4 separate regions of the Mus musculus genome follow, and regions 1, 3 and 4 are each reported to be linked to region 2. The links are microRNA targets in miRTarBase. Many come from high-throughput screens and were not tested one by one. Region 2 holds a microRNA gene; each other region holds the end of a gene's coding sequence.

Region 1 (7,123 bases), not on the chromosome of region 2:
ACAACTACATATACAAACAATAACATAATAACAGTAAAAACAACAACAGTAACAACAACTACTACTTTAGGGCCTAGGTTGATGGCTCAGTTGGCAAAGCACTTGCCATGACAGCAAGAGGGACAAATTCAGATCCTCTGTACTCGTGTGAAAATTTGGACATGGAGCTGGCAAGGTGACTCGGTGGATAAAGGTGCTTGTGACCATGGCTGACGACCTGTGTTCAGTCTTCACGGGCCACCGACTGGCAGGTTGTCCTCTGACCTACACATCAAAGCCACGGAACACACATGCATACTCAGGCACATGCGTTATAAAATAAAAAGGCGTGGGGATATGCACTTAGAGTCTAGTGCTGTGGGGAGTGAGGGGAATAGACAGGGGGATTCCAGGAACTTGCTGGTCAGCTACTCTGGCCAAAATAAAGGAGCTCTAGGCTCACTGAAAGGCTCTGTCTCAAAAAATAAGGCAGAGAAACGATTCAGAAAGTCACTTGACATCAAACACTTTCACCAGGAGCACATATGTGTGTGTGCACAGAAACACACACAATACATATAACACACATACACTGACTTTAAAGAAAAAAAATGTATAACCAAAGGGGAAACATAACTTGAAGACTTGGAAAGTTCTTGGCCTCTGAACCTGTCTTTACAGTAACTGCAAGCCTGTGTGGAGGAGAGCATCTGAGATCAGTATGGATGGGCCCTGGGGTATGCACCAAGACCACAGGAGGATGACCCTTTAAAGCTCTGGGTGTGACTGTGCTCCAGGCAGAAGCCTCCAATGCCAGGTACACAATGGCAGCATGGTTTCACAGAAAATGGCTCAGAACGCCCATGAAACTTCAGGACCCACTCCCTAGTACCACATCAAATCTCTGTTCCCCACATTCCTCGTCCCACAGATACTCCCAGGTGCAATGTAAACTACTGAGGCCTCTACTCCCAAGGGCATCAGCGGTAAATGTGGGTGGCATCATTTGCTCCCAGTTCTACAGCCCCAAAAAATACAAGAGCTGTGGAGGCATTACTCTATCCACGTGGATGTCAAACAATGTCCCAAAGAATGTCAAGGCTGAGGCCAAGAAGTACCACAGAGCCCTCATGAGGGCATTGCCTTGTGTACCAGTGGGTATGGGACCACTGCAGAGAGCCTCACCAGGCAATGCCTAGGAAAGCTGTAGGGGAAGAACTGACCAGGACCCAGGATGGTGGAGCCAGCCACCCACAAGCTCTGTGCAACCACAAGACTCCAATGCATGAGAGCTACAGTAGGAGCAAAGCCATACTTCTAGCTCAGCACTGTGTCTGGAAGGTAGGATATTTGCATCACACATGTCATTTGTCCTGTGGGTATGGGATGTGCCATTCCTTTTCTCATTTCTCTTTCCCACCCTGGGAATGTCTTTCAAAGAATGTCCCACTATTGTGTTTTGAAAGTTCACAGTCTGTTATTTCTTCTTTACTTTTTATTAGTTTATGTGTACAGTGTTTTGCCTACATGTATATACCATGTATCACATGTGTGCCTCGTACCCACTGAGGTCAGAGGACCATGTTGGCTCCCTTGGGACTGGAATTACAGGCAGTTGTAGATTCACGTGGGTGTTGGGAATTGAACCCTGGTCCTCTGCAAGAGCAAGAAGCACTCCTAACCTCTCTACTGCCAACAGCCTGTTAGTCACAGGCCCACAGCTTCATGCAGAGGCCTTCATGAGTTTCACCCATTTCTGATTTACTCGATGCCACCCAGACCACTCTGGAAACTTAAGATGTCTGTGCTGACATTTGAATGATTAAATATTGGAGGTTGTTAGGAGGTACGGGGTATGTTTTTCATGTGAAGACATTCTTTGGAGGGGGCAGAGGTAGACTGCAAATGATCCAATATTAGTGGCTAAAATTCATGTAGTTCAAACCTAACTCTCGGTGCAATCTTATTCAGAGGTGGGGCTCTTGGGAAGTGTGAGGTCAACAGAACACACTGTGGATGAGATTAACATCCACACAAAAGAAGACCAAGAAAGGCAGGGTTTTCATCCATTCTGCTGGGTGGGGATACACTGAGCAGATACCACCCATGAGGAAGAGGGGCCACACTAGATACTAAATCTGCCAGCACTTGGACTTTGGGTTTCTCCACCTTTAGAACCGTAGACAGTCCACTTCCATCACTTGTAATGTACCCACTCTGAAGTATTTTGTTGCAGCAGCCTAAGTGGACTAAGACAGGCGAGAAAGAAAAGGTAGTTTAGGTAAAAATAACTGTAGGCTTTTTTTTTAAAGGCACGACACACCTTAAAGTGAATGGGAGATATCACCTGGAGTCAGAGAGTAGTAGGAGTGGTGGGAACAGGGCAGCCTGTCTCCAGGAAAAAAGATAGGGCAGAGGAGAGAACTCAGGACAGCTCAGGCCCCAAGGGCTAGGAGAGAGGAAGAGTTAGCAAAGTTAGTGGCAAAGCCATGGTCCTTCCTGAATGATGGCCATTATGGAACTGGCATACACTCTCCATTCCTTAGTGCAAAGTGCTCTATTTTCCTCAGGATGGATTTTAGACTAAGTCTCAAGAAGCTATATTTAAGGCTACCTATTTAAAAAGAAATACTATAGAAAGAGACAAGGAACAAAGAGGTAATGGGCTTTACCAGTCAAGAGTGACAGAAGACTGCAGTGGTCCCCATGCAAAGCTGTTCTTGGCCTGATTAACAATCTACAGTCACCATGACTGTGTAGCCAGAAGGGACAATTTCTGGGAAAAGCTTGTCTCCAACATCCCTCTTCCTATCACTTTATGCCTTCCATAAGCAGATGTTTAAAATATATATATTTAGAAAAATGGCTAAAAGCAGTTTATTGCTGCTTGATACAAACTGGTTTTAACAGAGGTTAAAAACTCTCTTTTTAGATAGCAATCTCCATCGCTGAGATTGTGGTAAAAGTAAAGGCCAAAGATAAGACAATATTCCAACCAGGACTGTGTTGCTACACACAGAAAAACAGTCACTCCCCACAAGGTGTACATGGCCTCTCTCTCTGGAAATACAGGGTGAACTGAGAACAGAGAAGCTATCTTTTACCCTTCAAGTTCATGTGACCACGTGAGAACAACCCCATGCATGGGTCCTACTAAGATCACTGAAAATACAGAACTTTCTGGAGTGTCCATTTAAACTTGCAGTGTGTGTGCTGGATTGCGTTCTTATATACATCTAATCTACCCTACTATCCTCCATGATCCTTTAAAATGAAAACTGTTAAAATCCTCACACCTGACAGCAAAAAACCAATCCTCTATTTTAGATCCTTTGGAATAGCAAGAACAAACCTCAGCATTCTGGACGGCAAACCTGAAGGAATATATATACATATGTAGGTCTCAACAGAACCAGTGGGGTCAGCATCTGGAAACTGTAAGCTTACCTGTCACAGCCTTCATCGAGGTCTTGACAATCACACAAACAGGCAGCCACGTGGTTCTTTTCCCCATTTCGATCTATGTATTCGCAACAGCACAGGGGCTCCAATTCAGGTTCTTCGGTTTTCTTTTTTTTGACTGGCTTCATATTGCCCTTTAGTGTACGGATTTGTACCTGTCACCATGAGGCATAAGAAGCTCACAGAAGGTAAAGGTGGCAAGAACTCAACTCACATCCTGTAAACACATCCTTGCTTCTCATTAACGCCAACGCCTGAGCAATAAAAAAATGAAAAGGGGGGAAGGGTCCTGCTTTCATCAGGCTTTTCGGGCTCCGCGTGGCCTGACAGGAGGGTTCCTTGACTTCTGGGGCTCTGAGCACCTTCCCCTCCCCTTCCCAGCTAGGCTAGCAACATCTGGGCACCAGCCGTTCCCATGGCGACAGCCGACCACGCGGCCCGGGACAGCAGAGCTAGGGCGGCCCAGTTCACCTGAGGGTGCCGGCTCAAAGGGCCGGGCTGTCCCCACCCCAAGGCTGCGCGCCGTGGAAACTCACCCTCGCAGGTGCAGGCAGCGACGCCCTGGCGCTGCAACCACCCACCGGCCCGGGGATGCCAGGAGCCCCAGCAGCCCCGAGGTCGCCCGTCCAGCCCACTCCGAACCCGCCGCTCCGAGGGCGTGGGCGGGCCTGGAGAATGACCTTGGCGGGGAAGTTACCTGCCCTCCCGACAGAGGCGGGGACCGGGAGGAGGACCGACTCCCCTGGGCGCGGCTGAGCCTGCGACCCCGCACGGCAGGCTCGGGAGTGCCGGGCGGAGTCGCCCACCTGTGAGCACCGCCGGTGCGCGCGCCTGCCGAGCGAGCCAGTCGCCCCCGGTCGCCGCTCCGCAGGTCGGCGCGCGCTTCCGGGTGCCCCGCCCCCGGCGCCGGGATCCCGCCGCCCGCACGTGCGCCGCCTGCCCACGAGGCCCCTCCCCCGCCGCGCTCCGGCCGGGCCACCTCGCACCTGCGCCGGGGCCCTCGCGGTGCCGCCGGGGTGCGGGATCGGACCCCGGCGCTCGCGCGCCGCCAGAGTTCCGCCGGTCGCCTGCGGTCCTCCAGCGCCGGCAACAGGCGTTGGGGTTCGATCCGCACCTTGGCCGCCTTCAGAGGTGCCACCCCACGAGTCGCCCGCCTTCCCTTGAGGCCCGCTGTGGACCCCAAGCCCGGCTTATCCAACTTGTTCTCGCTCGCGAGTCCTGGAGGATGGAGCTGCTTTCCAGCCAGGCCTCGGTGGTACTTTTGATTCAGTAGTCTGCACATTTGCAATGAAATTGCCCAAGAGAGTCCCCTCTGGGTTTGTATTGCAGCACAAATCTGTAAGAACTATGGGCCTACGTACAGGTTTTCCCTACCCCAGGCTTTCTAGGTTTTGGTTTGGTTTTAAGCAGAAACAGAAGAAAAAACGACAACTTAAACATTTCCGGTTTTATTGAAGTCAATCCATACATAACAGATTAAGATCTCATTAATTCTACGTACATATTTAGTGTTTTATCTACAAAGTGACGTTGGTAATCTTTGAGGTATATGGTGAAGTGCTTTAAGAGAAACCACAAAAGCATTCACTTTGACAGTTAACATTTTTCTAAATTTAACAATCTGAAGTTTCTAATCCAGTCACTCAAACTCACAGCCAGAGACTTCCTATGTTCTTATCACAAACAAAACAGAACAGAACAGAACAGAACAAAACAAAGCAGAACAGAACAGAACAGAACAGAAGGTATTACTCCGAAGCCCCCTGCCCCAGGGAGATTAGTTAGGATTCATGAAGAGAAACCCTTCCCTTTAGCCAGTATTTTTATTCCCTACAGGCGTCTCAAAAACATTGTTAGCAATGACATTTGGCTTTGGTGACACTGAGGGAAAGGAAACATTGACTAAAGGCAATGGATATTCAATAAAAATAAATATATGTGCGTGTTCTAGAAAGACAGCTAGAGAACAAAACAATAAATACGTCCTGAACATTTCCTAAATCCCGGGGGACGCAGCTAATTTCAAGTCAAGTCGCCAAGTCCTTATTTTCACAAACCACTGGTGCTGACACAAGTGCCTGAGTGGTTTTCCCGAGAGCCCAAGCTTGCGCCTCTCAACTCCGGTCAGCTTGCATGCCCCCCAGTCTTTATTGCTGAGTGCAAGTTTGTGTCCAGCTTATAATTTGCCAGCAAGACAAGTTAGCTGCTACTGAAAAGTGATTAATTATTTTCTACCTGATGGGCCACCTCTATCATGGGTGTTGCTAAGCTGAATCTAAGCATTACTCATGGACTCAATTTGATCTGTCATGGAATGCCCAGATTTTATAATAATCTTACGACTTCTAAAACTGAAAGTAGTTCATTATGAGCATTGATGTCCTATATACTTCCTTCTCCTAAATTACTGTTCAGTCTTTTTGATATATAAAGGATAATCTCACCTTTGGTACTTATACGTACATACATATATGCACACACATATGTATATATATGTACATGTATATATGTGTGTATATATATACATATATATCCCTTCATTCAGATACAACATGGCCAATGACTCTTTCGGACATACAAAAGGTCTGACCATTGGCCTTGAGGCCAAGTCAAGGAAGGCACTGTAAAATTTAAAGATACAAGCCTGGAATGTATGCACTTGGAAAACGATCCTTTAAGGTGATAAATGATTGAGGGGTTTCTTCTTACCTTTTTAGGCTCTTAAACTCAGTTACAAACGCAGCCCCCCACCCCCACCCTGGGCACACAGGGACTCTGTGCTAACATAAATTTAAAGGATCAAGTAGCAAGCCTCACTATAGAAGAATAGCCATCCTACCCACAGTGCCTTCCTTCCCCTTTTGTGTCACAGAATTTCAATTCCAAAATATATTTCATGGTTCACTGGAGAAATTCACAGCTTAAAAGTATCTATAAGAAGTGAAAAGATAGAGTCTTAAGGCTATTGGAGAGTAGTCATTGAGTAAATGTTATTTAAATACAGCTTTCCTGGTAGAAATCCTGGTAATAAAAATATCAGAAATGTCCTTATGACAGTGACAGTCTTCATCCTCCGATTCCTTCCAGATGTTGCCTTCTAGGTCCAGATGTCTCTTTGGTTTCCACATTTCAGCACTAGCTCTCCACAGCCACCCCAGACTTGTTCTTATTTAGTAAATCAAAGGTTTTTTGAAGCATAATGAGTGAGCTCTTCAGCTGCAAACAAAATGATCAAGAATCAGACTTCAATTTTTGCCAATTACTTTACTCCAAAAGATATATGAGTATATGTATAAACATATAATGTATGTATTTGATTCAAACATCTATGATAGATAGATAGATAGATAGATAGAAAGATAGATAGATATAGATATAGATATAGACATAGATATAGATATAGATATAGATATAGATATAGATATGCTCAAATAAATTAGATCATCAATCCCTGATTCTCCAGTATGTGCTATATGAATTCTAGAGAGTTCTTACCAGGTACTAAGGGCCATATAGCCTTCCATGCAATGTACTTCCCAGGAAGCCTCTCTCATTATCCAGAGGGAAAGACTTGTTTTCTTAGACCTTCCTCAAGTCTCAGTAGTGTTTCCATTCTTCTCTGAACACATCGAGCCCCACAACTGAGCCATGTCTTCCTAATCCCCTCAAGATTCTCTTCCCA
Region 2 (7,123 bases):
AATGTTCCTTTCAAATTTAAATGTTTACTATAGCAATTTTGTAATAAAGCACTCTTCATTCAAAAAATTCATGTTTGCTATGAATAGTAACATGATGTCATTCTTTATGATTTGGTGGAAAAACTTCAGAGACAACAATCAATTGAAACCCTTTCCTACCAGTGAACCCAGGAGCTTCAGTTATGGTAAGTTCATTTAGAAATGCATTCTATGAATTTAAATGAAACCAAATACGCCATTTTAAATTTTAAGGTCTTAACTTATTCTACAAGCTTGAATTCACAGAACTTCTGAGACTAAAAAATTATAAGGGTTCAAATAATTTAGTTCCTTGTCTTCAGGCAGGTCTATATTTAAGTCACTTTGACAAGTTTGACAGTTGATGTTCTTTAGAACAACTTTCATCAGAGGTAATTTCAAAACCCTCCCTTGTACAGCAGTCTGCTCTTTTAGGAAATGTTATTTTACACCAGGCAAAAGCACCCCAGGCTAATAGACATCAGTGGAAATGAAAACTCCCACAATACATAAGGAGGGGAATCTACACCTCAGGCTCAAGACAGTTATTGTATCTTTGCTAGGCTTGCCTTGGAATGCACTGCTTCAAACCTAAAATTAGATGCTTCCCTAGACTGTGACAAAAAGGAGAGAGGACACTTCTGACACTATAGTCATATATGCTGGAGGATTTTGTAATTTCTCTTTTTTAAAACAGGTGGTAACATTCGGAGAATGGTACCTGAGGCCTTTTCTGGACATTTCATTAGATCTCATAACACCAATATGATTATTTAATTTGAAAACAGTTGTTACCAATGTTTACACTTCCCCATTCTTCTCTTCAGAAAATACTAAGGAGTATTGAGGCATATAGAACTTTCCCTCTTGTACTTTGACTGCAAATGAAATATTTTCTTTATTTGTGTTTTCAAAATTCTTCTGCTTGGTATAAGTTATGGGAGGTTTGTCGTTTGTTTTGTGATGCTGGGACGGCATAGTCCTCATGTGGGAGCAACAACCTTAGGACCACATGAAAACAGTTTTTGTTAAATCTAAAAAATGCAAAAAAAAAAAAAAAAACCCAACCAACCAACCAACTAACCAACCAACCAACCAACCAACCAACCAAATAATACAGTGAACTCCTCAAATCAACAGCATTTAAGGTAGTAAGTTTTCCATAGCAAAATTTATTCCACTCGCCTAAAATAATATTCCAAAAATAGTTCCTAAATTAATAGAACTGAAGTTGCTGATGCAAATCATTCCACAGTTGTAATAACAAACATTAAGGGAATCTGTCTTAGTGGGCAGCATGCCCAGCAATTTGAAGCTGTTTCTCCATAGGTGGTAGGAGAATTCTGCCTAAATTATCTCAGCCTAAGTATCCTTATAGCAAAATAAACAATAACAACCAAAAACAACAACAAAAAACTTGTAAAGAGCAGTACTAAGGGGGAAACCATATGTTAATGTATGTGTTGGAGATAAATTCCTACTGACTTGCAAGACTGAGAACTGTACAACCAAATTTCTTTGTGTTCAAACATTTGTTGATTTCCTTTTATATGCTAGGCTCTCAGCCAGATGCTGTACACAGCGTGGAAAACAAGGCAAAAAAAAAGGCCCTGCACACACAGAGCTTACATTCCAACTCAACAAACAAGCAATAAGCCATGTCAGGAGTGGATCATTGCTGTGAATGAGAGAGAATTGCATAAGATAAGGAATAATGGAAGGAAATAGAGCAGATTTATAGCTGTATGTATTCATAGGCTGTCCTAGTGTTACTTATCACAAGTACAGTTATTTTACACTGGCAATATAGGCAATTGACAAGTATCACTGGTGACAATACTTTTTTGTTTGTTTGTTTTACACACTTGAAACAATTCATTCCCTTTAGTTTTGTCAAAGTACATACTACAGTCCAGCATAGCTGTATACAAAAATGCATTTCCCCCTTAGCTTTACAATGATGCCCCCTTACTGACAGGCAGCACTTGCTCCCTGGGTCTCATTTGATTAATAAATTACACAGTTTGGGCTGTCAAGCAGGCCTTGAATGTTGCAGATGCTCCAGTTGAGTCAAGAGAAGCGAAAAGTTCAATCAGTTGCCCAGATGTATGTATTGCCAAATAACAGGGTACTTGGGTACATCTGGACAGCCGAATGAACTCTTAACCCCTCATCTCTCCAACACTTCTTCAGTTTGCCAGCTTTTGATACTCCTGGATAAAGAGGGAAAGAAGTAAACAAAAACCACTACTTTGGCATTGAAAGATTGATTAGTCTTTCAAGTTTGAGAGTTTCACAGCAAGAAAAAGCAATCTCTGCCACCAGTGTATAACACATTACTAGAAAGTGTGTTTAAATCACCAACAAACAACAATATCTACACAGAAAGGCTCATGCTAAACATTAACAATGTATGACAAGTACAGAAAACGCAATGGGCAAATTGAATTTGCATAATTTACATTTAAAAATATGTTTTATAACATAGCACACTGGGTACTAGATGCTGTGGTTTCAGACTTGATTCTGTTACTCTATTGAAGTGTAGCTTAGAATAAATCATCAAATTTATTTGAATCCAGTGCATCCCCCATTTTATTATGAAGTTGAAATAGAAAATTACAGGTAGATACTTCTTGCCATTGCCAGCTCAATGTGAAACATGAAATACACATAAATGTGCCTCTTGATTTAAAAGGAGTTTGAGAGTGATCTGGGAGATATTTTCATCACACAGCCCATCTATTCTGCAAGTCAATGTGCATGCAGTCTTTAACATCTATTTTTTTCTTCTTTCTTAGACTGAAGATTTAGGAGATCACATACAATTATTAAAAACATTAAGACAAAGTTTACTATTCATAATTTTCTGACTTGAAAGATTCTGTGACTAAAATAATCACAGAAAAGTGCATTTTAAGCAGTATTGCCTGGTAGTGTAGCATTCTAAAACCCATGTTCCATTTTATTATCTTAAAGTTCAGCGAGGGTAGTGGTTCTCAACCTGTAGGCTTTGACTTTTTGGGGGGAAGGGGTCAAACAACTTTTTTCCAGGGCTTGGCTAAGACTACCAGAAAACACAGCTGTTTACATTATGATTCATAACAGTAGAAAAATTACCATTATGAAATAGCAATGGAATTATTGTACTGGTGGAGGACAGACGAGCATGCGGAGCTGGATTAAAGAGTAGCAGCATTAGGACGGCCGAGGAACACTGTTGAGAGGTACCAAATCTGTTACTGCTTTGGGGACTTTTCTACTATTTTGGTGATTTGTTGGACAATTTTGAAGATATTCTTATTTCTTGCATCAGGTCCATAATCTTTGCAATATATGTTGTCAACATTTAGAGACACAGATATGCCTATTTTATAACTTCCCTGTCTGTGTTTGAAGTTAACATTTCAAGTAACTTATAATACATATATAATCACCTTAAAATTTCTCTAAACAGTTTCATAGAGAATTCTGTAAATTATTCTTCCCTGTACCACACAGTATACAAATACAGTATGCCAAGAAGTTTAGAACAATATAAACACTAATCCTGTTGTTTATGATTTCAGTGAGTAATAGTCTATGTACCCATGCCTGTGTCTGTGTGTTGCAGGTGGTGAACAAAATAAATGTAATTTAAATGCACATTTTTAAAATCACTACCCTCCAAAGCTCCATAGTCTCATAAGGTGAGACCATGTCATGATGTCCGAAAGCCATCAAATGATTGCATATGTTTGATCATCGTTTTCAAATGGAAGAACTGACTTGCCTAACATTAAAACCCATGTAAAAGAGTTATAATTGAATATCTTGGAAAGTGGTCCCATTTGTGAAATAACAGCATCTTCATAACAGAAGCACCTGCTTTTAATTTTTTTGAATTATATATCTTTTTTTTTTATTTACGTGAGTACACTGTAGCTGTCTTCAGACACACCAGAAGAGGGCATAGGATCCCTTTAAAAATGGCTATGAGCTACCATGTCGTTGCTGGGAATTGAACTCAGGACCTCTGGAAGAGCAGTCAGTTTTCTTAACTGCTGAGCCATCTCTCCAGCCCACCTGCTTTTACATTTCATTGAAAGATTATTCTACATAAAGCCAAATCATGATTTTTCTAGGCACTCAAATGCAGCAGAGATGTGGTTTGCTGTTACACAGATTCATAGTCTAATACAGACTAACTGGAGGTAAGTTTGTTAAAATATTAACATATCCTGCAGTTTGGTTTAATGATAATTTTTTAAAGCAAAAGAAAACAACTTTAATATGGCTTTGCGAAGCTCTTTGAGCACATTTAGAAATGGACCACCAACCAGGCAGCATACACCAGCTGATATGAGACCCTCAACACATATACAGCAGATGACTGCCAGGTCTGGGTTCAGTCAGAGAAGATGCACCTAACCCTCAATAGAATGGAGGCCCCAGGGAGTTTAGAGGTCTGATTAGGTTGGGGGTGGGGGTGGGGTGGGGACATCCTTGTGGAGACAGGGGCAAGGGGAGGAGGTATGGGATGTGGAACAGTTGGAGGGTGGACAGGGAGGGGGAAATAAAATCTAGTGTATAAATAAATAAATAAATAAATAAACAAACATAAAAAAAAGATTGCTAGGCATGCTGCAGACATGCTAACATGGAAAAGGAAAGTGTCATGGGGACTTAGGCCTAGACAAAGAATGAAAGGATACTAAGGAATGTTTACACTCAGAAAAATGATTTTTTTCTCTACTAACAGTTTACTTGATACCAAGTGGTCAGGCCTGAAAGCACACAAGTAACAGTATATGAATTTATCTAGCTGTGTGTATGCATGTATGTATGTATGCATGATGTATTTAATATATGAACAACATAACAAAAAAGAGGCCATGAATTTGAGAGGGAGTAAAGGGGAAGAAGAACATGGGATGGGTTGGAGAGAAGAAAGGTAAAGAAATAAACAATGAAAATATTTTAGTTTTGGAAAAAAAACAATTGCTGCGTGTGACAATTACACAGCAGTTTTATAAGAATATACTCAGAATTTTAGAATTGTATGATGTCATAGTGTGAAATTATTTAACAAAAAATGAGAAATAAATAGATTATTAAACTGGTATAGAATCCTAATAGTTACTTTCTGTGATATGGGGACATAGAAAATTATTTGACTTTTATCCACACTATTATATATGTTTTTGAAATTTTTTCAAAAGAAAATATATGTTCAAATGAGATGTAATCTCAGGTTGTATCCTAAAAGTACTGTTTCTTAAAATTTTTTAAAAAATCATTATTTTATTCTTAATCTAAGTTTTTATTTCTTAATACCTTCACATGCCAAGGGTTCTGTTGTTACAAACAAAAGGAAACAAGGCAAAAATATTATTTTGCCGGGGACTGAACCACCAATCAAAGAGTAGACATTGAGCGACTATGGCTTCAGCTGCAAATGTAGCAGAGGATGACCTTGTCTGTCATAAATGGGAGGAGAGAACCTTGGACCTGTGAAAACTTGATGTCCCAGTGTAGGGGAATGCCAGGGTGTTGTGGTGGGAGTGGATGGGTGGGTGGGGGAGCAACCTCATAAAAGTGGCAGGAGGAGAGATGGGATCAGGGTTCCTGGGAGAGGGGACCTGGGAAAAGGAATAACATTTGAAATGTAAATAAATAGAATAATCATTACAAAAAAAAAAAACAGCTGTCATGATAATATCTTGAGAAGTTATTCTTAGATGACTGACATGTCTAATATCAACATATTAGACTCTTGAGGGTGCCACCTTTTCCACTTAACAGCAGTATCTGATTGCTTAAGGTCTTTTGTTTAAGCTCTCCAGGGAAGTACAGTAACAACGGAAGGTCATTATCTTTTATAGGTTTGGGGCGTTTTGTTGTTGATTAGGTTTTGTTCTGTTTTGTTTTTGAGAAAGAACTTAATGTTAGGTGGATAGGGAGTAGGAGAGGATCTGGAAGGACTTAGGGAAGGGGAAGAGCATTATCAAAATATAGTCAAATTTAAAAATTGTTTTAAATAATACAAATATAATTTTAAAATCAAATAAGGTTATTAATGTGTTAAGGTCAGCCATTGAGTATATTTTATTTAAAAAAAACTTAGGTTAAAATCTCAAAGGAAAATAGTATTATCATAAAATAAAATTTAACATCATGAAGTCTGATTTGCTTACATCTGTACTGAACTGAGTTTGAAATAAATACTATTTCCTTGTTACTTAAGTGAGATGTATTCCTACACACACTAACTTGTGCAAACAGTTTTTCAGTCAGGAATTAATTACATCATGAAAATAAATGGCTCATACAAGAAGAAATTATTTCTTTTAGATGTGTGGTGTTTATTGCAGGATGTGTATGTGTGGCATGGTGTGTCTATATAGTGTGTGTTACATGTACACGTTTGCATGTTTGTGCACAAAGAGTGGGGTTATAGACATGAGAAGCCATTTGGTTTTTGACCTGGGTGCTGTCATCTGAACATAGCCAGTTCTTCAACCTCAAGAGAACTTTTCTTACAGTGAAAAAATATATATATAAGAGCAAAATCCTAGCTTTTCCATCGCTTGTGCACCACTGATACACACTTTGGTCACTTACATCTGCATATTGAACTACCTCAGAACCACCCTGAGCTGCAATCCACATCTTTTAGCAATCCAGTCAGGATAAGAGTCAGCAAATAACCAGCGGTTTGTTAAGTTAACACATACTTTCCAACTGATGGCCTTTAGTGCTTTTTGGGTATTTTGATCTTATTGTCTCCTGGAAACAATGCAGTTAAAGTATATTTCTGATCCAAACGTCTGCCATTATCCTTTAAGTACAAATTCCTGTAATAATTCCCTGTCTCGTCAGTGTTTTCAAGAAGACACTTAGTGCTAAGTAGGAAGAAAGGGAGTGAAAACCCCCTCTATATATATTTGCTTAGCATCACCTTAGTCATACAATGTTTCCTTAGAGACAAAAGGCATAATCAGTGACCAGCCATGCCTTATTATACAAAGAAATAGGAGTAATTAAAAGAGACAGACTTTTAATTAACATTTTTAACACTACGATGGAAAAATACCCCATTGTCTGCTAATGACCCATTGTTAAG
Region 3 (7,123 bases), not on the chromosome of region 2:
GTCCGCATTAGAATACACAGGTTATCGATATTTCGGGCAAGTTCTTGGGAGTACCTTCAGCACAGACAGTGGAAGGTCTCAGTCCTCTCCCACGGCCCTGCACGGCCCCAAGAGCCAGGGTTGGAGTAGGGGTTTGAGCAACCCAGGAGCAAAGATGTTTTCACAGACCATAGTCTGAGAAGCAGCACAGCCTTCTCCTCCGCCGGTCCCAACTCTAAGGATGCCAAGTTGAACCCGAAAGACAGCGCAGGAAAAGGGAAAAGGGAGGGAATTTCGGGGCGTAGGACCATTCCCTTGGGGTGAAGACTCGGGGTGCAAGTCACAACGTACCTGTCTCCATAGCGACGGCCGCGGCCATAACAATCAGAGTGAGGCGAACACCACCAGCCCCGACCGAACCGCGACTTCGATTGGTGAGAATCCGGAAGCCACGGCTCCTACTTCCGGTCGCGGGGCAGAGTGGGACACGAGGGCGGGGACAACCTCACTTATGGGAAAATTAGCCCCACCTATCTGTGCAGACCCGGCCGGCTGCGCGCGCAGATATCGAGCGGGGCGTGCCGGAGGACTTCTCATTTTTTAGGTCTCAGAGTCCTGCTACCTACCCCGACGTAATACACCACCCTGACGTCACCTTTCCCTGTGTGACGTGACGCAGAGCATGATCCTTGGGCCTCTTTGTCCCACCTGACCAAGGTGTATGGGCAGGATGGCCTCGCCCCTTAGGAGCAAGTCCTCCGCCCCGCGAGTGGAAAGCACCCGCCACAAGGAGACATCGACTGTCCGCGTGGAGACGTCGTCCCACCGCGAGGAAACGTCATCCCACCGCGTGGAGACGTCCTCCCGGCAGGTTCGAACGTCTTCCCGGCAGGTGGAGACCTCCCAGCGCCACCGAGAGGGGCCCTCCCTCACCCCCTCCACGAAGCGACTCCCTCAGTTCCTTGAGGTGTCCTCCCAGCACGTGGAAACCTCCTCGCAGTGCACGGAAACGTCCTCCCGCCACGTCAGGGCGTCGTCATCCCTGAGGGTGGAGACTACTGTGCACCGTGTTGAGAGCCCAGCCAGGCAGAGTGCCAGAATGGCTCGATGAAGTGCCAAAGGTCCTTAGCCAGGACTGAAGAGTTGCCAGCCAGCCATCTTCCAGGAGAACCGAGCATCTTTGGTTTCATGGAAAGAACCCATAAATCAGTGTAAGAAACAGGCTGTGGTTTCTGGGGGCTGTTAACATGTATTGACATTGCAGCACCTTAGACCATCCTGTTGTTGACCCCAGTGTGCTATTAACTTGAAGCCAGCACAGAAGGTTTCAGACTGGTAGTGCAGTATAAACCTGGCTGATGGACAATGAGATTCTTTGAGTCTCTACACCAGGTAAGTTTTATAGTCTTAGGTCACTCTAGGATGTGTTGACGACTTGAAATTTGCAAAGAGGGGCCAAACTTGTCATGATTCTTGACCGCTGGCCTGATCATATACCTGCTTGAAACCTACAGGGCAAGGTATCATCTTTCATACATTATTAATTGGCCTTTATTAATACTTATATTTCATTATACATTTTCTCATGTTGTCATACATAGTATTCCACCCACACTTAAAAAATTAAATCAGGGGGTATAGGAAAAAACAGGACAATTAATAAACAATCAATAAAACCATTAATAATCTTGGAAGGGAAAGTAAAGAAGAAGCCATGACACTTGGCCTGAGGCGTGAGATTGACAGGATGGTAACTGAGTATTACTGCATGCTAGGTAGTAGTTAGAGCATGGCAGCTAGAGCAGTGGAAAAGACTAGGATCTTCCTCTAATGAAGAGACATGCAACAAAGGGGAAAGTAAGACAACATGCTGTTGTATTCCCGCGAAGGAAAGGCTGTCTGTCTTGTGGTAGAGAGTAGGGAACTCTTTAGAGAATATGGTCAGGGAAAGCCTTGCTGATTACATTTGGTCCGAGATTTGTGTGAGTGGACAGTGAGCCATATCAGGATCTAGAGGGAAGTGCATTCTAGACAGAAGGGAAAGTCTACATTTTTTTTAAAAATCAAAGATGTTTATGTAAGAGAAAGATCAGTTAGTATATGAGAGCGTGGTATAAGGAAGAAAACAAAAAGGAGGAAGATGCCACTTCATATAGAGTCTTGGAAATCTTCTGGGATTACAGTAAAGAGCTTGAATTTTATTCTGAGATCATCAAAAGAATTTAGTGCAAGGGAGCAAAGTGCGTATTGCAGTTTACAGTTTAGAACTACCTCTCCATCGAAGTTGCATTGGTAACCGAGTTGGGAATGATTTTGTCTCCAGAAGTGTGTGTGTTTGGGGCAGCGTGGAAGGTGCTCCTGCTTGCCTCAAGTGCCTAGTAGCCAGGGATGCTGCTAACATCTTATGGTGCCCAGGTCAACACCCTGTCCCTCCTCCAACAAAGAATCGCTGTGCTGAGAAAGGCAAGTCATTGGTGAAGTTGAGAAACATTGAGGTTTCTAGCAACTTTGCTAGAGGGTGGTGCACTAAGCAAACCCCTGACTTCTGCATAGCAGAATTGCGGAAAAGCCTGAAAGACAGTCATGGAAGTGTGTTCAGAGCATCTTCCGGTGAGGAACAAAAGCAAGCGTTCTCAGAGGAAGAGGATGTGTTGCTCTGTAAGGAACCCTCTCTCTAGCCTGCTTTAATAATGCATGTGCTACTTGCCACTAGAACAGAAGGCTGCAGATGCTGATTCTGCAGGACTCCTCATGAGTCAGAGCACTTACTACTTCCAGGCACTAATTTAGTCCCAGGGAGTGTACTGGACTGTCCCCGCAGAATGGGGGCGCAGGTCAGAAGAAATGTCATAACTGCTAAAGATGTTGATGTTATAACTACCATCACTACCCCAAGGCTACCTGAATGCCTGTCTGCCTCACAGAACTGCTAGTATCAAAGAATTAGCTAATAGCAAAGAATTGTCAGTTTTTTCCAGTTTACTAATTCTTTTTAATATGGCCAACTGTGCCTTAAATAAACAGATAAAAAAACAAACAAAGCAGTTGCTTCTCTTTGTGTTCCTCATTATCTTCTTGTTGCAAAAGTGGTATGTGTCTAATGTAACAAAATAAATCAACATAACAGTTAATACGATATTATATTTCCTGTCCATTACTAGCCTGGAAATAATGTCAGAGATGTGTTTGTCTGTCCAGACCTTTCTCCATTAGTGACTGCTTCTGTTTCCTCTTTTAGTAGTATTTGGAAGACTGGCTGAATGTGACTCTGGGAAAGCCAGGCGCCTGCTTCTGGATCGTTGATGCTTCAGGAAGGGCGTGGGAAGGATCCTGGTAGATTCCCTGTGGTCCTGGTCTTATTTTTATCTAGGATTCTTCCTCCATATTTCACTTATTCATGTTCCAAGAGAGAGAGAGAGAGAGAGAGAGAGAGAGAGAGAGAGAGAGAATGAATGTAATGAAACACCTTTGCCATAAATCTATATTATACATTCCACAGCTTCAAAATGACAGTGTACATCAATGAAGGTAATTGTTGATGTACCCATTGTACTTTGTAAATGTGTGTGTTACTGTTAGCCATGCTGTGTGTCTTCCTCATCGTTCTCTGTAGGAAATAGAGCTGCTGTACCTGGCATGTGTTACACAGTGTTAAAGACAGCATGTGCAACAATAATAAATGAAGAGTAATATTCTCCATTTGCAGTCGAGAAAGCCTTTAATGGCACAGTCTAATAATTGGATTTATTGTGCTGGGTAATAGTTGTGTCTTGCCTTCAGCTGTGTCAGCCAGGTTAGTTTAAAAAAAAAAAACTAAATAAATGTAAGTTCTTGTAAAGAAGTCACTTCTTATTCTCATACTTTTTCATATATTACCTGGGAGTGGTGTATAATATTTACTGCCTATTGCGTTCAAAAGAAATGGCTGGGTGTGGTGATGCACACCTGAAATCCCAGGACTAGGAGAGGCTGATGCAGGAGGATTGCTATGAGTTTAAGGCCAGCCAGGACTATATGACTGTATAAAAAGTACCAGACTAGTCAAAACTACATAACAAGATCCTATCTCGAAAAATAAAGCAAAAGAGAGAGAAATAAAAAATAAAAAAGGGGCAAGGCCACTGAGTTGGCTCGGAATGTAACAGTGCCTGCCCCCGAAACTGATAACTTGAATTTGATTTCAGGAATTCACATGGTAGAAGGAGAGACCAGACTCCCAAAAGTTGTCCTCTGACCTCCACACATATATCAATGTGTGTATAATATTTTATATAGTTTAATATATAATACATAATAATTTATAATAGACATAAAAGTATATACTATACAATTTTAAATATAGTAAATCAATATATAACATTAAACATACATTTAATTTAAAAAATTTTTAAGGCTTGCATTGACAGGATCCTCTTTCCCCAGACTAAGCAGGCCATGGGAAGAACCAGAAATTCAATTAACGAGGTGTTTTTCTCACATCTTTTTCTAGATTTTACAGAATTCCTGTTCCCTCCTTTGTTCTATTGATCTCATCCTAAGAAAGCTAATGCTTATATCCAAGGCCTGGATGGCACCATAATCAATGCTTAGAATTGCATAACTGTAAAAAAAACAAACAACAGAAATAAACAAAACAGAAAACCTGTCCCGCCAGGCGTGGTGGCGCAGGCCTTTAATCCCGGCACTTGGGAGGCAGAGGCAGGCGCATTTCTACAAGTGGCTTCCCAGCTCGGGAGTGTCTTTTGGGTCTTCAGTGGTCCTCTAGGTTCTTGGCAGTGGCTTTGCTACTTTGCCTTTAGCATGACGTTGACCAGTGCTTGGTGGTCACCGCTCGGGCCTTTCCTCTCACTGATGCTGTGGAGGAGAACATGTGAAGCACATGCTTACAGGCTAGGAAGTCTGCTTCCCCTCTTTGACACATTTAGGACATTGCTCAGACTCTCCTGATTTGCATTGGTTCCCACAGCAGCAGTGGCAGCAGCCTCGCCTGTGTTCCTCCACACCAAGGTGTCCATGGCCTCTGTCAAGGTGTGCTCTGTACTGTTGGTGGAGCACCCTGGTATAATAATAACCTTGGTGTCATTTCTTTCCTTTGTCCTATATTTGGGGTTGCTTACACTCTTAGAAACTTTGACTCTATAGTCTTCATAAAATTCATAAAATTTGGAGGCCATTATTCCTTCCACTGTTTTTCCCTGCCCCTCTCTGGGTGTAAATCGTGGGTCTGATAAGCCATGGGAAGCTGATGTTCTTCTGTTCCTCTTCATATTTCACTGGATATTTTGTGTTGTTTTTGTCTTCATGTTTATACTAATGTTTTTTCTATAATCTATAGCCTATCATAAATACCATGTATGGTTTTAAATTTCTTTTAATTTCACTTAAAACATTTTTATCTCTCATAGTTCAACTTCAATCTTTTAAAATATCCTCCACACATAAACAAATTCCTCCACAAATTCCTTATATCTTTTTGGCATGTTTGGCCTGCCCTGCCATTACTTTTAACATATATAATTTTGTTTTAATAATGATTTTGTTTATTTTTATTTAATCCTATCATCTGTACAATCTCTGGGACATTGCCTATTAATTGATTTTTCTTCTCATTATGAGTTGTATTTTGTGGTTGTTACTTTTCATGCCTGGTTATTGATATTTGTATGCAAGGCATAGTAAATTTTAACTTTTTTTGAGTGTTGTTTAGTTTTCATATTTTTATAATTCTTTTTTTGTTTGTTTGTTTGTTCTTGTTTTGTTTTTCGAGACAGGGTTTCATTGTGTATCCCTGGCTGCCCTGGAACTCACTTTGTAGACCAGGCTGGCCTTGAACTCAGAAATCTACCTGCCTCTGCCTCCTGAGTGCTAGGATTAAAGGCATGCGCCACCACGCCCGGCATTTTTATAATTCTTGAACTTTGCATTAGTCACAAGTTATTTGCAAGCAGTTTGTCCTTTATATCTACTTTAAATCTGTTCTGTGAGTCCAGATCAGTTTTAAGTGAACAGTTAATGTTCTCTGAGACAAAAGCTGGGTCTGTCTTCTCTGGATATCCCTAAGTTAGGTGTTGGCTAGGGGGACAAGCCTTGTTCTCAGTTTCCTGCCCTAGCACGTGCAGTGGTCAGTGCTCAGCCGAATGCTCAGTAGACACCTGTGCAGTCTCTGAAGTTCTCTTTCTAGATGAGGCCCTGTTTTCAGCTCTCCATCCTTCAGTTACCCCTCCTTAACTCAGGACCGTGAGAGGACTCTGCCACAGCTCCCTCCTCCCCAGTGCTCACACTGAAACCTCTCTCTGGGCAGTAAACAAGGGCAACCACATAGCTTATGTTACTTTCATACTCATAACAAGCCAGAGAGAAGCCTGATATTCCCCTCTGCCTTAAGTCTTCCTTATTATTTAACATAGCTTGTCCTGGAAACTAACATTACCGTTTTCTTTCTAGGTAACAGGATATTCAGGTGGTAAGCAGATCGTTATGGTAGCTATCATAGTGCAGAAATAGAACATATCACACAGTCTCTGCCATGGACACAATTACTATATTGACCTGCTCTCTCTCATTTTCAGAGCAGAGCCCCCACTATAGCCCAGTCTGGCCTTGATCTCTTGATCTTGTCTCTGCTCTCTGCATGCCAGGATTACATATATATGTACTTGCCTGGCTCATTGTTTCTTTTTGAGGAGATGGTAATATCATTTTCTTCTGTGAGAAATAGTTAAGTACAAAAAGATTAGGAGGGTGTGTGAGCTTAAATATAAGTGCTGATTATCAATGTACCAGTTAGAGTTTACCCCTTGGCTGCAAACCTCAATTTCTGCTTTGCTACGCGTGGCTCTGCCATTTAGCCACCAGGGGGCGCATTCTCTCTAGAAGACCAGAGTAGCTTCTTCCTGCCTGCTGTCTCCGTTGTGCCTCCTATGCTGTGAACTCTCAGAACCAACCACACTTCACCCTGGCTGCTGCAGTTCCCTTCCCTTAGTAGCTGAGTACACTTGTCAGTTTTCTGTTTGAGGAATTCGTTTTGTTAAACCTAACCTCAGAACACCAGCAGCAGCCGGTCATCTGTTCTCAGAGTCTGCAGTTTATGCTCTGTAGGGTCCTTCTGAGTTTCTCAGCTGTAGTCATCCCAGTCTCTGCTCCT
Region 4 (7,123 bases), not on the chromosome of region 2:
CACCCACAGGCATGGAGGTTCACAACCTCCTGCAACTCTTATTTCCTGGGAATCTGATACTCTCATCTGGCCTTGCAGACATACATGCAGACACAACACATGTACTCGTAAAATACATACATACATATGTATGTATATATATATGTGTGTGTATGTGTGTGTGTGTATGTATACATATATATACAGAGAGAGAGAGAGAGAGAGAGAGAGAGAGAGAGAGAGAGAGAGAGAGAGAGAATAGCCTGGGCTACAAAATACAGAAGACTCTCTAAAAATATGGATAGTAAAAAATAATCTTTAAAGTGCAGACCATGTGGTTGGTTACTCATTTCTCACTTGAACTTACCATCCATACTTAAGGATATCTTTCTGTAACAGCTTCTCGAAACAGCAGTCAGAGGTTATGTCCTGTGCCTCCTCTATGGGGTCAGACATGACACTAGACGTTTGCACTTACACTGGCCTCTATGCCTCACCTCAGCCTTCTAAAGCAGGCAGGTTGCCTGGACTTCACAAATGAGGACGCTCCCACTTAGAAGCCTAAGGGCTGCTTAGTGTCCACGCCCACACACTTGATGACTGCCGCAGCAGGGTCTGTAAAACCTGGTGCGCATCCCACTATGTAGCTTGGTGCCCTTTTCTTTGTTACATTGTGATCATATAAAACCGGCTCACTGGCAGGCGATTTTGCTTGGCATATATTGGATACACTGTATTCAGCTGCTATCAGAAATACACATCGGGGGCTGGTGAGATGGCTCAGTGGGTAAGAGTACCCGACTGCTCTTCCAAAGGTCCGGAGTTCAAATCCCAGCAACCACATGGTGGCTCACAACCATCCGTAACGAAATCTGACGCCCTCTTCTGGTGTGTCTGAAGACAGCTACAGTGTACTTACATATAATAAATAAATAAATCTTTAAAAAAAAAAAGAAATACACATCGTTCTGAAATATTTAAGCTTGATACCTAAAGACTACATATTGAAGCGAATGTTAAATAAGACTCAAGAAGTAAGTTTTCTCCCAGGACCTAAAGAGGGCCATTCTCATTAATTGCATCACTAGAGACCACTCGGGACCTTAACGACGTAAACGCCTTGAGAACTTGCAAACGAAAGGGATGTGGGGATGATACACTTTTCTTACTGTTTAGACCTATGACATCACTGACATGATGGCTGTTCCCACGTCCCTGCGGGGTGGAGTACCATAACTTAAAGTCCGGAAGCTTCCGGGGAACTGACAGTTCTTTGTCTTTGCTCCAGGTCACTGTAGAGTTTGCAGATGAGGTCCGGTTGTCCTTCATCTGTACCGAAGTAGACTGCAAGGTGGTCCACGAATTCATTGGTGGTTACATATTTCTCTCAACTCGTGCGAAAGACCAAAATGAAAGTTTAGATGAGGAGATGTTCTACAAACTCACCAGTGGTTGGGTGTGAATAGGAAAACTTGTAATAAAACTCCACAGCCATAACAATATTTAACTTTAAAGCTATTGTTTCTTATATGCTGCTTAATAAAGTAAGCTTGAACTTTATTATTTTATCATGATACCTTTTTGCCTTACCAGACCAGTACATATGTGCACTAACAAGCACGATTGTTAATCTGCTGCCTACCTTGATATGCCGTATGTGGACTGTGGAATTCCCAACAGTCCTTAGGGCCACGGAAAGCTGTCACTGACTGACAGTAACCAAACTAAGAAACAAGCCATCTACCAAGCCACCCAGGGCATACATATAACCTATATGAAGTCTATTTATCATGTGTAATGCATGTGTTTGTGTTTAATTGATGCCTTCTTTTAAAGTACCCTGCTCCTGGTACCCAGTTAATCCCCTCTCCCAGTATAAAGTCGGTCTACAGTGGATGCTTGGTATTTGTTGATGCTGTTGACCTTGAAGGAAACACTGCTAACCTGTTGTTATTGGGTGGGTTTTGTCTTTGAGTAAGCATGCTGTACATTGTTTTGTGTTTAGTTTTACACCAAACTGTATTACAGTACTCTTAGTATTCACCAGCATACTCACTATCTGCCTAAGATATGCAGCCTTTGTGTTACAATATGAAGTAAAGATCTATGAAGTATTCATTTTGTGTAACTAATGTACAAACACAAATTTTATAAAATTGTACAGTTTTTTTTAAAAAAAACTATTCACAACTAGGAAATGGCTTAAATGTAGCATCCTTACATTAATTAAGTGCTTTTAAAATATATAATTAATTTGCAGTTTCAGTATCTGCTAAATTACGAATGACTTCATGATGCTCGTGACTTGCCGTGATGCCCTTAACTACAGCCTGGACCGGCTGTGTTCTAGTCTGTTGCGCTATTACATCTGCGTTGGTGCTAGTTAGACAATTCCTAGCTCACGAGCCCAGAAGGGCGCCAGGGAGGGGTGGACTTACCAGTATTGTCCAATAATCCATGAATTAAAGACTGTATAAATGCATTTTATTTTAAATAAAAGTAAAACCTTTTATTTAATGTTTTCTTTTGTACTTCTGATCTCTCTCAACTCTCCCAACACTGTGTGTTATTAGAACAGCCCGCCAGTGCTAGGCCATGTCCCAGATGAAGAGCTCTCTCTCTCTAGGAGACATCCTTTCTCCGGCATTGAGAGACCTTTGTGGTTATTCAGTTAGACTCCAGACTTTCATCATGGGCCTGGCTGCCACCTCTGTCAGTCCCGTGCCTGTGAGGCCAAGACAGCTTCTAAAAACCCAGCTCTGCTCACCTCTTCTGTCTCCCACCACCACTGCTTGCCCTGCCTGCTGAGCCCTGGTGTAGCACTGCCCTGGTTACCTAAAGCTCTGATGACTGTGCCCTGTGCTACAGAAGCTCAGGCTCCAGGTCCTCTGAGCTGGGGCATCTCCCTGGGGCCCATTTGTCCTTAAGCAGTCTGGACAGCCACATTCTCTAGGCCAGTGGTTCTCAACCTTCCTAATGCTGCAATACAGTTCCTCATGTTATCCCCAACCATAAAATTATTTTCTTTGCTGCTTCATAACTGTAGTGTTCTACTGCTATGAATAATAATATAAACATCTGTATTTTCCCGTAGTCTTAGGCATCCCCTGTGAGAGGGGGGTCAGGACCCACAGGTTGAGAACTGCTGGTCTAGCCATTCATCCCATTGCCATATTATTTACTAGCCCTATACCCTGTCCTCTGTCCAAATCTATGTCTCCCTTTAGAAATTTTAGTTTATAGCTGTTCTTCCATAAATACTTCTAAGTTTCCTTGCAGCCAAGCAGACTCTGCCTTCTCTGAACAGATGGCTGCATTTAATGGGAACCAAGGCAAAGCTAGACTGTGACCTGGCTTCGCACCTCTGTCCAGTCATATGGGAAGCAAGCCTTGGTAACCCTCACACCTGTCGCCAGCAGCCTCTATCAAGAAAGCGTTTTGCAAGAACACTGTCTAGGACTCCCAGAACCTGCATTCGAGTTTCTGTTCCCTGTGATTGTTCACAAGGGCATGGGAACAGGATATTAACCAAACTCCATCCAAATGTTGTTCTTCTCAGGCAGCAGGCTAGTGGCCTGTTAGAAGCTTCTGGTGTAGTATTGCCAACTCCACATAAACTAGTTTTCTTTGTAACCTTGAGAGATATTTTCCATTCTTTTGGTTTTTGGTTTTTTTGGTTTTGGTTTTTTCGAGACATGGTTTCTCTGTGTAGCCCTGGCTGTCCTGGAACCCACTTTGTAGACCAGGCTGGCCTCGAACTCAGAAATCCGCCTGCCTCTGCCTCTGCCTCCCAAGTGCTGGGATTAAAGGCGTTCGCCACCACGCCCGGTACAACATTTTCCATTCTTATCTCTCCAATGTCATACATTCAAGCGGCAAAGACAGGGCAGACTGTTCTGTTCTGTGTTGTCTAGTTGCGATTTGTGCCTTATTAAAAGGTTTTGAAATCAGTAGTGATAAAGAAGAATGAGGCCAGCCTGGGTTCTTGGCCCTTAGCTGAAAGACACCAATGCTCTGTATTTTAAAGTCAACACTAGCAGTAGTGAACACAGTAGCAAACCAGTTTTTTCAGCGTCTCTGTACTATATCTGTATCCAAGTCACTTGACACATGGGACCATCCCTAGCCTGACAGCCTTCCAGATCTGCGCCTTTGCTTTATGCCAGCGTGTATCGGAACTGCCTGTCCGGAACCGGCTCAGATCCTTGCCATGCCCTGTGGCCACTGTGCCAGTGCCCCTTTCTGGCCATATAGCCGCAGCACGGAGGCTATAGGCATAGGCCTAAAAGTCTGGGATAATAGAAATGGATCCAGTTTTTACCCTGCAGAAGAACCACTGGGGCCCTTTACACAGCAATTCAGGAAGCCCGCCCGCCCTCCCCTCCCCTCCCCTCCCCTCCCCTCCCCTCCCCTCCCCTCCCCTCCCCTCCCCTCCCCTCCCCTCCCCTCCCCTCCCCTCCCCTCCCCTTCCCTCCCCTCCCCTCACCTCCCCTCCCCTCCCCTCACCTCCCCTCCCCTTCCCTTCCCAGGAGCTCAGAGCTGTTCAGCAAATTAACGGAGGCTTTCTTTATCTGTTCAAACTGATGTGGTTTGGCAGCTCAAGAATGGGGGAGGTGGGAGAGAAAACTAACAGGAAATGGGAAATCAGGGGAAGGGCAGGGAGATTCTCAGTGGACTGCAGAGCCACCCAGAACAGGAAACAGAAGTCAGAGGCTTATCTAGTGACCTGATTTCCCACTGTGCCATTCCTCCACTACATTTAATTAAGCAAAATCAAGTTTCCCAGGATAAGCATATAGATGTCAAATATCCCTTCCTCTTAGTAGAGTCGCTCCCTGTTCAGTGTCCCTTCTGTTGTTTGTGCTTTGGCCTAAGTATTACTAAAAATTACAAGCACTTAAAAATAATTTGAGACCATTATTTCATGAGATCTAATTATAGTCTCCTGTGGCTTTGCTGCTCAGGCATTATCCACAATACTGCCCCGGGAACTGGACCAGGCTCAATGTTAATTACATTTATGATTACAAACAGCACAGTGAGCCAAACAACTTTGAAGCCATGTCTGAATCAATGTGGCAAATGCATGATAGGAAAACATTCTGAGCACAGAATTCTAATGTCCGGCTTTCTAAAATCGAGTGAAAACACAGACTCCGAATCCTACTGGTAGCTACACAGCCTCTCAGCTTTTTGCCTAGTTACAGACTCAGTGCTCAGAACACTTGGAAGAGTCAAAATGCTCCTGAGAAATAACAAGCAGCCGAGGGAATCAGCTTTGCCAAATAGGACAGTGGGTGAGAGGAGTGTGAACAAAGCAGAAAACACGAGCATGAGAATCCCAGAATAACCCCGCCCAGCTTGTATCGGAACTTTAAAGTTTCAAACACAGAAAGTGTGGGGTCGTGGTGCACACCTGGCATGCCTTGGACCCTAGCACACAGAGGCCAGCCTGGTTGACAATAGTGAGTTCCAAGGCTACATAGTGAGAGCCTGCCTCAAAAAACAAACAAACATCCCACAAACAGCACGACATTGGCAGAGATGATGGAAACACTGCAGTCAAAAGAGACTGGAACCAAGGGTGTAGGGACAGCTACTTGTTTCTGAGATCATCACAAAAGAGTTCCCCAAAGAGCTTGGGCCACAGCCTCGTCTAGCTATGCAGTCATCGAAATCAATTCCAGGTGGACCAAGGACTGAAGTTGGAAAAATGCTCCTGTGATCCGAGTTAAAGAATCCTGGCCTATGTGTCCTACGTGTCACTGTCTGTGAGACAACACAGTGCAGGAAGTATTGAGTGGACAGCAAATCAAAGCTGGAAGAGGAGAGCATTGACTGGAGAGGCCGGAAGATGCCAAGCTTATACAAAGCCAAGCCTTTTCTCAAATCAATCAACAGAGCAGAAAATGTGGAGAAGGTATTTGCATCATATAATTGGCTGGACAAGAGAACCGAGACTATAAACAGATGTGCACACCTGTCTGTGCTCACACAGGCCAATCCAGAGGAAATGCACAAACCCTTAAGGTACTCATTTCACAAGGGAGGAAAGGAAGCCTGAAGTGAAAAGCTGTCCATCTGCACAGGATTCTGGAAAATGGGCGCTTTGTATGTGAAGTGCAGAGGACAGAACCAACCCAGAGGTCCTCGTGTATTAGACACATGCTCTGCTGCTGAGCTACATCCCAGCCACCAATTTTAAAGTAGTCTCTTGCCTGTGGTACTAGTAAAATGGTTAAGATCTGACAGAGTAAAGCGTTACTGGGGTAACAGGATGTTTATCGGTGCAATTATAAACTATAGCGTCCCCAGAAACGGTTGTTGCCATCCTGTGCATTTTAGGCCCTCTCAATTCCACCGTGGATGTGGAGAAACTTAAGTGTGTCCTCGTGCCCACCAGGAAACAGGTTCTAGGGCATGCAGGGCCCTGTGGTGGCACAGGTCTGTAATCCCATCTGCTCAAGAAGCTAAAGCAGGAGAATCACAATGAGCAAATTAGTTAGACCTCGGGGCAAAAAGTCAAAAGGGCTGGGAAACCTGTATGTAATTCTGGCACCAGGGAGGGAGGGAGCAGGATCTGAAGTGTTCAAGACCAGCCTGTGTTAGTGAGTTCAAGGCTAGTCAGTGTGAGCTACCCAGGAGCCTTCCCCACTTCCCGCACCACGTCCCACCGCAGAGTCCTGTGGGCAATATCTAGCACTGAACTAAAAATGATTAAAAAAAAAAAAAAAAAAAGACAGCTCACTACCTAAAGCAGCAAAGACTTGTAAACAAACACACGGAACAGTAGAATGAAGAATGACAGGTTCCACCTTGCAGAAAATACAACTCGCTTTTAAACATGGAGGGCTTGAAACAGTGAAAAATGGCAAATATTTGTCATTGTAGTGGGCAGGCTGTGCTTTGAAATTTTTATTATTATTGAGGAGGCAGGAGCAAGCACATGAAGCTCCTCCTCCCCCTCCTCCTCCCCCTCCTCCCTTACCTGGATTTCAGGATCTAACTGAGGCTGTTAGGCTCATGTGGCAAGCACTTCACCCTACTACACCATTTGGACAACCTCCAAACTACTGAGAGACCATTTTGGGTGCTAATGTCCCATGTGTAACAGTGGTACTAAGTCACTGAAGGCCAGGGGGAG

Evidence for each region. The annotated mature microRNA mmu-miR-1298-5p reads UUCAUUCGGCUGUCCAGAUGUA and lies in region 2 at 2,156-2,177, opposite strand. An mRNA with a match to its seed (bases 2 to 7 or 8) in the 3' UTR can be bound and repressed. Matches are read on the target gene's strand: a 7mer-m8 pairs with bases 2 to 8, a 7mer-A1 pairs with bases 2 to 7 and ends in A, and an 8mer does both.
Region 1: miRTarBase lists Gramd1c as a target of mmu-miR-1298-5p. Seed matches in the 3' UTR shown: 7mer-A1 at 5,978-5,984.
Region 3: the mRNA of 4930563E22Rik is a reported target of mmu-miR-1298-5p. Seed matches in the 3' UTR shown: 7mer-A1 at 3,426-3,432.
Region 4: the mRNA of Fermt2 is a reported target of mmu-miR-1298-5p. Seed matches in the 3' UTR shown: 7mer-m8 at 2,260-2,266.

Annotation. Positions count from the first base shown.
Region 1 is chr16:43,975,482-43,982,604 of GRCm38, forward strand. It overlaps Gramd1c (GRAM domain containing 1C), which reads right to left. Exons shown (of 17, transcript NM_001359085.1): 17 at 4,869-6,657. The coding sequence ends at 6,577. It overlaps Zdhhc23 (zinc finger, DHHC domain containing 23), which reads right to left and starts at 4,328. Exons shown (of 5, transcript NM_001007460.2): 1 at 3,978-4,328; 2 at 3,427-3,695. The coding sequence starts at 3,569. It overlaps Gm46552 (a long non-coding RNA gene), which reads left to right and starts at 4,392. Exons shown (of 2, transcript XR_001781930.1): 1 at 4,392-4,757.
Region 2 is chrX:147,059,972-147,067,094 of GRCm38, reverse strand. Mir1298 (microRNA 1298) reads right to left here and starts at 2,190; the gene lies at 2,093-2,190. All of the region lies in intron 2 of Htr2c (5-hydroxytryptamine (serotonin) receptor 2C), which reads right to left.
Region 3 is chr11:72,214,631-72,221,753 of GRCm38, forward strand. 4930563E22Rik (RIKEN cDNA 4930563E22 gene) reads left to right here and starts at 508. Exons shown (of 1, transcript NM_001163728.1): 1 at 508-3,820. The coding sequence starts at 701. The coding sequence ends at 1,090. Med31 (mediator complex subunit 31) reads right to left here and starts at 962. Exons shown (of 4, transcript NM_026068.2): 1 at 331-962. The coding sequence starts at 358.
Region 4 is chr14:45,454,168-45,461,290 of GRCm38, reverse strand. Fermt2 (fermitin family member 2) reads left to right here. Exons shown (of 15, transcript NM_146054.3): 15 at 1,268-2,499. The coding sequence ends at 1,441. Among named protein-coding and RNA genes, the nearest start is that of Gm34250, 11 kb to the right of the region's middle.